Schizosaccharomyces pombe: one gene and its partners. The gene in region 2 interacts genetically with the main gene of each other region. Each region holds a gene or a part of one and is shown on either strand. Other genes may lie near its edges.

The links.
Region 1: mutations in pof9 (region 2) and SPOM_SPBC365.16 together harm fitness more than expected from each alone (negative genetic interaction), as found in Schizosaccharomyces pombe (one large-scale study listed by BioGRID).
Region 3: mutations in pof9 (region 2) and nop10 together harm fitness more than expected from each alone (negative genetic interaction), as found in Schizosaccharomyces pombe (one large-scale study listed by BioGRID).

What each region holds. Positions count from the first base shown.
Region 1 is NC_003423.3:2,527,658-2,531,418, reverse strand, and holds the start of SPOM_SPBC365.16 (uncharacterized protein), read right to left. Parts: upstream 1,753-3,761; 5' UTR 432-1,752; coding exon 1-431.
Region 2 is NC_003423.3:1,869,816-1,873,576, reverse strand, and holds pof9 (F-box protein Pof9), read right to left. Parts: upstream 1,745-3,761; 5' UTR 1,731-1,744; coding exon 1,366-1,730; exon of another isoform or gene 1,296-1,365; coding exon 257-1,295; downstream 1-256. Other genes in the region: phosphoserine phosphatase Ser2, read right to left, coding at 2,276-2,374, 2,446-3,243; SPOM_SPBC3H7.08C (uncharacterized protein), read right to left, coding at 3,734-3,761.
Region 3 is NC_003424.3:1,634,490-1,637,218, forward strand, and holds nop10 (snoRNP complex protein), read right to left. Parts: upstream 1,016-2,729; coding exon 838-1,015; exon of another isoform or gene 786-837; coding exon 769-785; 3' UTR 622-768; downstream 1-621. Other genes in the region: SPOM_SPAP27G11.12 (uncharacterized protein), read left to right, coding at 1-253; SPOM_SPAP27G11.14C (uncharacterized protein), read right to left, coding at 1,573-2,729. UniProt on the Schizosaccharomyces pombe protein: Non-catalytic component of the H/ACA small nucleolar ribonucleoprotein (H/ACA snoRNP), which catalyzes pseudouridylation of rRNA and is required for ribosome biogenesis.

The DNA of each region.
Region 1 (3,761 bases), 660 kb from region 2:
CCCCAAAATTTGGTAAAGAAACTATCCTTCAAGATGGATAAACCGCTGTTTGCAGCGGTGACAGAACAGAATTTAAACCAGCCGGAAGTTTCCGCCTTGAAGACGGGATTCTTGTGACGAATGTTATCCAGTGTGTCTATGGAATTGGCCGTCATATATGTGCCCGAGTATAATGTAAAGACCAGGGCAAAGGGAGCGCTAAAAAAGAAGGCGCCTGGCTTTGATAAAACATATTTGATGGAGCGACTAACAGAGCGTAATAAAGTAGAACGGCCACTAGTATTTTCGACGATTGAGCGGTCGATCGTCAAGATAAAGGGAGAAATCATGGCACTGGCGGCTGTAGCGGCAAATGCATCGATGCCGATCCGCTTCCAGGTATTGGAGGGAACGGGTTTGGGGGACAAAGGGGGTTGACTATTAAGAGCCATGTTAAAGTCAAAGAGTTTAAAAAAAAGATTAGAAAAGATAAAAAATAAGAATAAAAAAACCAGAAAAGATAAAAAAAATATTAAAAACTTTTTTGTGAAAATAATAAAACAAGCCAAGCAAAAGGTCTTTAGGTATCTATTTTTCTCTCTTTTTAAAGGTTTAATCTAATTTATACAACGTTAAAGCTGAAAAGAAAGAGACGATTGCGAAAAAAAAGCAAAGCCAAAAATAATTTTTCTTCAAATAAACTGCACTTCAACAAATGCAATGAAGGAAAAAATTTAAAACGTTAAACACGAATAGTATAGGCTAACGGGGCAGATAGTACAGGTGAGAGGAAATGTCACCAAAAAAAGACAATTAAAAAGATGCTGAGTAAAAATGAAAGACCGAGAAACGACGACAAGACCAATTGAACAACAAAAGTAGTAGTAGTAGTAGTAGCAACAAAAACAAGTAAAGAGAGGGAAACCAAGTAATTCACACTTTGGAAATGTATATATTCCTTTCTTTTCTTTTTCTAAGTAAAAAGATATATATTATATCAACAAAAAAAGGTAAACCCGAAATCCTAAAATTATTATAAATACAAAAAACCAATAATAACCACAAAGTCCAAGTTAAAGCAAAACCACTTGGATTGTAAGAAGGAAGATTGATGGTGGTTTAAAAAAAAATAAGACGATGATTGGGATTGTGAATAAAAAAATTCAATTCAATTTGATTCGTATCGTTAAAACTGCTTCGCTCAATCAAAACTAACAGTAACGTGAAGTAGGCGATATAGGGAAAAGACAGAACGATTTCCAAAATAAGAACGACAAGTGACTAAGCCGTTTCTATAGCAAACAAAGGCTAAGTTTACAAGGGTTGATCAATCAACGGGTGGAAATGAGGTATATCGATGCAATGATAAGACAACCTTGTCCAACAATCCAACTAGCCAATGAGAAAACAAAAGTCAGACAGCCCACCAAATAGCAGGTGAACGAGTAAAAAACAATTAAAACAAAGGGTTTGATTCCACGCTTTGAGAGAATTATCCCGTACGTTTGAGATGGGGAAAGGATGCGTAAAAAAAGCGGTGGTGGTACTGTGGTGGTTGTAGTAGCGGTAGGAATGGCAATATCAACAACACTCTTCAGTAACAAATAGTACTGGGCAAGCAGCAGTATGAGTATGGGATAGCAGTGAGTAAACAAGAGTGTCTAAGGACTTTAAAAGATATTGCTCGTAATAGTTGCTAGTTGTTCCCAGTTACGCTGGTTCCTATCCTTCTTCTCGTGTCGTAATTGGATCAAGTGCTTGAAGAGGCGAGCTGGAAGAGAAAAAAGAGCGAACGAAGCACGTTTTATATCAAGTTGGCATCAATTTTTAGTCTTAAAGATTCTGTGTTATCTTGCGTTAAACGGGTCAAGATAGGGTGATGATCCCCTTAATTAGCAAGACCGAACAACTTGGGACAACTTGGGATAACGGACTTTTGCAAGAAAATTAGGTGACCCAACCTGGTATCGAGGTAACAGCATCCGAGGTAAAACCGAATATGAGAACAAGTACCGACGAGCTTGAAGGGCGGCAGCGGGGCAAGCAAAAAGACAAGGTGGAAGATGCTGTGTTGAAGTATAGGAGGAAGTGAGATGAAGATTTTGTATTGAGATGTGTTGACGCTGTCTAATAAAGGAAGGTTGCTGACAAATAAGGCATGCTCTTGATTGTTTTATTTTTATTTTTTATTTATTTTTTTTTGTGGTTAATTGTTTTTTTTCTAACTCACTTACTCATCTAATCATTTTTTCTCTGGTCCTTTTTCTCTAGTTCCTTTTTTCCTCTAGTCCCTTTTCTCCTCTAGTCCTTCTTCTCTAGTGGTCTTCTCATCTTTCTAGTCTGGTATTTACTGTTTCACATGCAATAGTTCTAGTAGCGATGCAGCTATTCATTGCAAGCGACTATTCCTACAATGTAAACAGTGTAAACATTGTAGAGAGTCGCTGCTCAAAATCTTAGAAACGGCTAATACTCTTTTCTACTCTTGCTTTTTTGTTGATTTCTTTTCTATTGTTTTCTTTACTTTACTTTCTCTACTTTGCTTGTCATTGCTAGGTCTAGTCTTGTCGGGCGAAACAACCCAACAAGAGTAAATTTTCAGATGGTGACGTTGAAGACTGAGATCCTCGACATCAAGATTTGGGTGTGATAAACGAACGGACCCTTAGATGGATAGCGTATTCACACCCTAAACCCGAAACATAGGGTAGCGTTTTTAAGGCTGCCGAAAGGCGAGTCTACTATGGCCCCTACGGTGGATAAGATGGATAGTGAGTAAATCCAAAGGGTATTTGTCAAGCAAAAAAATAAATAAATAAAGCAATCAATAGGTGGTGTTGCATTCGCTAGTTTGCTTCATTTATTAATTATTACATTCATTAGTTTTTTATGTTCGTTAGATATTAAAAGATCATCAAACTCATCCTTCCTCTTATAACGTCTCTTTTTCTTTTTTGTTTACTCTTCACACTCTTGCATACTTTCATAATTTTTCCAACAAAACTTATCTTGTCAAAGCTCACCAAATTTTATCTACGAAATAATCTTTCTCTCTCTCTCTTCATTATCAGTTAGCTACATTCCATTTTCCTTCTGTCTCCCTACTTTCTCCCACCCCGATCATCCACCTATCCATCATCCTTCATCTACTACTGCTTACTATCCGTAATCTATAAGAAGTGTTGGCACTCACTAATCCTCTGAATTTACGGATACTGCTCTTGAACTCGTTATCGCTATGTTTCGAACGGCGACTCTCTTCCTAAACACTTTCTAGCAGGTGGTTTCGCGATCCCAATTGCTAAAACACTTTATTTCATTTTCCGTCCCCTGCTGCCAAGGAGAATTTCGGATCTAAATCGACGAGGAAGAAGAGGACGGTATTGCAAAATTTGAGAGATATTTACGTTTGTATGAAGTTTGAAGAAAAAAAAAAAAAAAAAGAGGATGAAAATTTTTCTAACATACAATCTTTCATCAAATCCTTAAACTTGTTTTAGTAGTACGCTTACTAGAAATCCTTTTTTAAATTTTTTTTTATTAATTACCTAGTATTTAGCTTTTTTTGTTTTGCTATTTTGGTTCTCATATTTTTTATCTTTAGTTCTATTTCTATTCTATTTGTTCTCTTCTATCCTTTCTCATCATTAGTCAGATAAAATAAAAATCTCTCAATTCAAATATTTCGATTTCAATACATTCGGCTTAAAATGTTTCATTCGGTTCGAAATGCTCTTTTATATTCCGTTCCTTGTTATCTTCCCCTTTATTTCATCTTAACT
Region 2 (3,761 bases):
GTGTACTTTATGTAATTGCGATACAGGAAGAAGGAAAAAAAATTTTCTCACTTATTTAATCACCGTTGTGTTTTCCTTGTGCTGCTTTTTTTTATAATTGGCTTACCTAGAGGAATTAGTAAAAATAGAGATAAATTCGGAAGTCCGAGGTGGCCGAGATATTTATTTATTTCACTTACTTAGCGGACAAAATAAAATCCTTCTCTAGTGCGCACGCGGAAATTAGCTTACCAAGCAAAGTTGATCACTATTTCACCTAGCCGTCCCTTTCCAAAGTCCGAGTCGCAGGGGCAGCTAAAAAGCGCAACGCTGGAACTCTGGATGGTCGGATGATAGAAAAAGTTGTAATTGGAGGCACATTGACTTCGGGTAAAACAGATTCCGAAATGGCGAGAGCAGCACTTTGCCATCCGCCGGCTGCAACTGAATAGCAAGTTCCTGAAAAGTGAATTTGATGTGGAATGGAAACGATGTTGCGTGCGGTGCGTGGATCAGAAACAATGCTGGGATCAGATGTCTGTTCTTGCAAATGAAGAGAACCCAAACCTAAACACCCACAATAACGTAATTCAACACCCCACGACCATATGGAATGATCGCTTGTTAAGTAAAGATGATGATGATCGCCATGCGCCAATTGCTTAATTCCTCGGTTCTGGAGAAAGTCGTGGATAACCGGGTCATCATCGACCTGCTTGGTATTAGCATGACCCATGTAAACAGTATTGCCATCGTCCGATAAACATGTGAAAGTTTCAAAGCTGCCTGCTAAATGCCAACCTTGATGGGGGTCGTGCGAAGCGAACCTCTTCAATTCTCTTCCTAGCGTGTGTTGTGTAGCTTGGTCCAGGTCTAAACGAAACACGGCGCCTTTTTTCTGAGGTGATGCGACAGTATACACTAGGAATCCTGCGCAGTGAACATAATCGTTCAGCACGAATTCCTTCATCGATGCCTCTGGCTGGAAAAGTTGCGCTTCACTTTCTCGTCCAGTGTGCCAGACAAGAAAGCCAATGCCCGGCACATACGCCGAATGCGAGTCCCAACCTGATTTAAAATTAGCAATTCTTCCGCGATAGGCTGATAGCATATTTTGTTCATCTGTCAAGCAAATTCGTGTTTTTAGAGATACTTGATACAAGTGTCCCGTCTCACCGAGTGCAAGACAAAACTCTCGACCAGCATGGATTTTCACAATTGGCTCTAAATCTCTCATCAATTCGGGCCCAACATTGTTTGGTACCCCCGTAACATATAAATTTCCGTTTTCATTTAATAAATACATCCCATAACCTCTAAATTCCGCATAGGGAATAGTTAGTCATTGTAGTGCAGTCAAATAAATTCCTGTATCTATGCGCTTACCCAACTTGAACCTGAATAGTAGAACGAACGTCCTTCCCAGTCAATGCACCAGGACGATCTCGAGGATACTGATTTGTATTGACGACGCGGCCCAAATAGTTTCTTATCTGTTGCCCCCATGAGTAAGCGTATCCTCGGTCTTTCCATACAGCATAGGGTCTTTTGTAATTATCATCAACAACTGGGACTACATTGGTGAGACCTTGGACCCGTGCACAAAATCGATGCCAAATTGTTTTGTCGTCAAAAACATACGAAAGTGACTTGCATGTTTCTGACAAATGAACTATATCTTTATAATCAAGATATGTACTAATTTCTAGCAATATATCGTAAGAAAGCTCCAGGAATGGTGATTTAGCCATAATGAATCTCGCATGGGTAGTAGTATATGAATACCTCTGAATATATACAAGGGAAACGGTGTTGAAATACGTCAAAAGCACATGTTTTCTGCAACTCTTAATAACTAGATACAATTGTATTATTTACAATTAATAAATGATAATAAAGAAAGGTCTATGAAACGAAGGTGTAGTCATTGCACGAATCAATTTCAAAGTCTATCAGCATAACGAAGCAGATTTAAGAGTAAATGATCGGCTTTATAAAAACCAATTGAGTAATTCTTGTCTGTTTTAAAGAAGAAAGCTTCTGAACTGCCCCTTTTTTTTTAAGCATTCATTGCACACCCTTTCCAATGAAGCATTGATCATACCAAAATTGTAAATTAAGGAAAAAGAAAAATAAGAGTATCAAAAATAAAGAAGTAGGGTATATAAAAGACGGCTCCTACTACAGAAAAAAAGACCACGCGCACAAGTAAAATATTGCTTTATAAAAACCAAGCCACAGTAGCTCAGAGTTCTTGACAGCGCCTTGCGATTGAAAAATTCTTGGAAATTCTAAATTAATTTTTGTTTTCCAATAGCTTTTTTTGTTGTTGCTCATCAATACCCAAGAGGTAAAGAGCGTTTTGCAAAGATGGAAGATTGATTTTCGAATCAGCCTAATTAAAAAAAAAAATCGAGTTAGTAAGATCATTAAAAACATAAATTTGTAAAAAAATTTCGAACATACCAATAATTGAACTTTGGGTTTAGCTTTGAACGCAATTCCTAAACCGGATTCGGCCATCATGACCAAATCGTTAGCTCCGTCCCCAACAGCCATCGTTTCGAGCTTATTTAAACCCAACTCTTCCCTCTTTTCACGCAAAATGGAAGCTTTTCGTTGTCCATCTACAATTGCACCTTGAACTTTTCCAGTGAGGAATTTACCATCATCGGAAAATTCAAGTACATTGGCATATGCATAGTCCAAGTCCAGTTGTCCCTTGACATATTCAGCCATTGGAACAAATCCACCACTAGCGACAACAAGAGTCGCACCCATTTGCTTAAGGCAATGACAAAGCTGTTTAGCTCCTGGAGTGAAAGTAATTTTGCCAATGACTTTATTTATGACATCGACGCTCAACCCTTGTAGTAGAGAAACGCGACGACGAAGTGATTCTTGAAAGTCAATTTCCCCATTCATTGCAAGAGATGTAATCGTAGCAACCTCTTTCTGGATGCCTGCTTCTGCCGCGAGCTCGTCAATACACTCTTGTTGAATCAACGTCGAGTCCATGTCAAATACTACAAGCTTCTTTTTAGTGGAAAATGTTGCTTCACTCAAGCAATTACAGTCTACATTCTCAGTAGCAGAAATGCGGTTACAAGCGTCTTTAGCATCTTCAAACGTTCCTTTAAGTTGGCCTGATACTAAAGTCCACTGTTCCCCCAGAGAACGAGTCTTCCCATCTCTAAACAAGGAGGAAATCTGTTCAAGCACATTTGGACGATTTGAGGAAACAACTATGGCTGCGTTGACCATGCTTATTAAAAGGTATGAGTGGGTTTGCTAAATTTTCTAAGTTGAAAAGCGTTGTTTTCGGCAAGTCCCATTTACTAATTACTCGGCTATTGATTAAGCTTAACGTTAAACGACAACAAGTACTAGGTCAATTTAAGTTATTTGAAAATCTCAAACAAGCTTATTTTTTGTTATTGTTTACAAATTTATCATTATCTTCAAAATGCTGTATAAATTGTGAAGTTGGTAAAGTGGTGCCTAAACTCCGTTTTCAAACACAGGTTAATAAGCAAATATTTTTTTTATACATTAAAGCAATAAAGCAAGAAATCATAACTAAGAAGATGTTTGGAAATATTGCAATATATCAGGGCAAATATTCCAAAAATGAGAGCCTACCATAAAGTAGAGAGTGAGATATTTGTAAAGTGAAAAAGCACTAAAAAAATATTTGGCAATGTAATAATTGTTCTCTTTCATTCCTAAAAGGTTATACACAATTTAATGTGCTTTACTTAGAGAATCGCTCAAGTACCTCT
Region 3 (2,729 bases), on a different chromosome or scaffold from region 2:
ATCTCTCAAAATCAGTGATATGAAGAAAGCCGGTCATCCAGCTTCAGAAATCATGGCTATGATAAAAACTCAAAAATACCCAGCAACTAATCAACCATACATTCCGAAATATAGAACAAAGGAATGGAGACAACAATTGGCAAATTTTGCTCGTCTATTCGCCTGGCAAGTCTCATGCGATTTAGACAGTCATAAAAGAGAAGGGCCAGGCATCTTTGAAGGTACGGATGTCAAAATATTTGACTCATTTTAGACTTGAAATCTCCTTGAGGATTATGCTTGAGCGGCATATCTCCGTTTTAAGAATTGAAATGGAGAAATTTGAACTATCCTAAGTTTTGTATGTTCAAAGAGTCTGTTTGAATAGATACTTGGCTTTTTACATCTGTTTTATTTTTTTATTATTTCTTTTCACAAATTGGTTAAAAAAATGTTGTTTCGTTTTTCATTCAGAATTACCACTAGTATGTTACTACTTTTATCGTTATTTTACATTCTCAGTAACTGTTTAGCATTTACTAAAAGATTTTATGTATACACCAGGGATTTATTCTTTGTAGTTTAATAGATAATAAATGCAAATGCCAAACAAATAATGCTTCGCAATAAACATCGGAAAATCAACTCAAGTTGAAATATATTTTTTTTTCAATTGAGCACACTACTCACATAACCAAAGAAAAATCAAAACTATTGATTATTTAACCAAAACCATACTTATGTAGCTCCCTTCTAAAGGCGAAAATTTTTCGACGTTTTCTTATTTGCTCAGTAAGGTTTTGCAGCTAATCGTTAGAACACTATCATTATACCAATTAATTTAATAGAAATACTTACGCAATTGAGTAAGTAGTACATGAAACCGTTTTTTCAGAGTATAACGTTGTCGAGAATATTTATCGTCAGGAGAGAAACGAGCAGGATGCGAAGATTTTGTGACTCTTCCATCTGGAGATACCTTTTTTAAAGTATAAACACGCTTTCCCTCATCATTTAAATAATACATCAAATGCATTGTGAAAAAAAAAACGGATATTACAATTTTCCTATGGTGCTGGAAAGGTGTAAATGTCAAAAGTACCTCAACTTCAGGTGACTGTTTTTGTTGCTAAATTACGCTAAAGCATTATAACACAGACATAATCAAATATTAAATTATTTAGCGACTCTCTTCTTTTATTATTCACTAAAATTTAAAAACAATACTGTAAGCAGAATAAGCAATATGGGGTTAAGGATATAGCAATCTTCGTAAAATTAAAACAGCTATTGTCATTATAATAAATTAGAATAAAATAATTTCTTTTAAAATCCGAGTTTTCAGCTATTAAGAAAATGCGATTAATTATTGACCAAATCAGATCCAACTATTTAGTTTACATCTTTAACATACGTTTGCTTGGAACATTTAGTAATTGCACCTTAGTACACTTAACTTATGGGTTATTAAACAAGGGAGTTAAACCTCTATTTTAAGCAGTTCGTTTTTGATTGTCTTTCTTTAGGGAAATATTATTTTTTTTTTTTTATTGCGCATCTAATTAAGATAGATAATTAATTGATGTCTTTGCTTTAATAATCACTCAAAGAATTGCTCTTTGTCTCCTTTTCAAACATATCCATTAACGTTTGACTAAGTTTGTTCCATGCAACCTCCCCCATTGAATTTTCAAAAAACAAAAGTAAATTAACCAACCGCGGTAGAAGACTGGATTCTGATAAATCATCGTCAGAATATCTTTGTACTCTGATATATTTCCTTGAACAATTGAATATATGGCTCAAATTATCATTCCTAATGATACACTGTAATCCACCTAACTTTTGCACTGCCTTTAAGCTTGATGGGTAAATTATGTACGGACATTGTTTGTGATTATATTTTAGTAACTTCTCTGCTTCTCCGAGATCCAGCGTTTTCCCCACATCTGTAATATGCCAACAGAGCATTCGAATCGGGTTGATCAATAGTCGAGATATAAACCAGTGCGAACTGAATGATTGGTGGTAAAGGCTATTTTCAAAATTTCTTTGCATAAATTTTAAAATAAGTTCTTGTATAGCGATTCTCTGTTTCGGTGTAAGCGACTTTTGTCGCTGATGAACAAATTCTGACAAGTATTGAAACAACGTTGATTCATTGTATTGCTGACTATGTAATTTTGTCAGAGCGATTCCTTTCCTGGAACAGAAAAACAAATTTTTCAGATGAGTAGAAGACATAATTTGATACAGACCACCCATTGCAGCTACAGCATGTAGATGGTATCGTTCCAAATGGAATGGATGGGCAAATGATTTAAGAAATAAGCGGTTTGCCTCCTGTAATACAACCATTTTTTTTGCAATCATTAAATAAGAAATCAGACATAAGGTTGGCTTAACCAACAAGCTAGCGAGCAACGTATTAAATGAAGAAGAAAAAGAATTATTGAAAAGTTCTTTTTCGGATAACTCTTTCCTGGCGACGTTAAACTTTGAAACATATAAATCAAAATTTTGGTATATAGTCTTTTCTGATTCAGGAATAGATAATATTGAAATTGACTCGTTAGATATTAATTTATTAGGAATCACAGTTTTTATGCTTCGAGTAAACTTGTAAGTTTCTTTTTTTGTCTCCTCGACATTTATTGTTTCGTATAAAGAGTCAATCATGGCATCCCAAACGTCCACTGGAACAATTTTCTTTCGATTTTTGGAAGATGAATATGCTAATAAAAAAATTT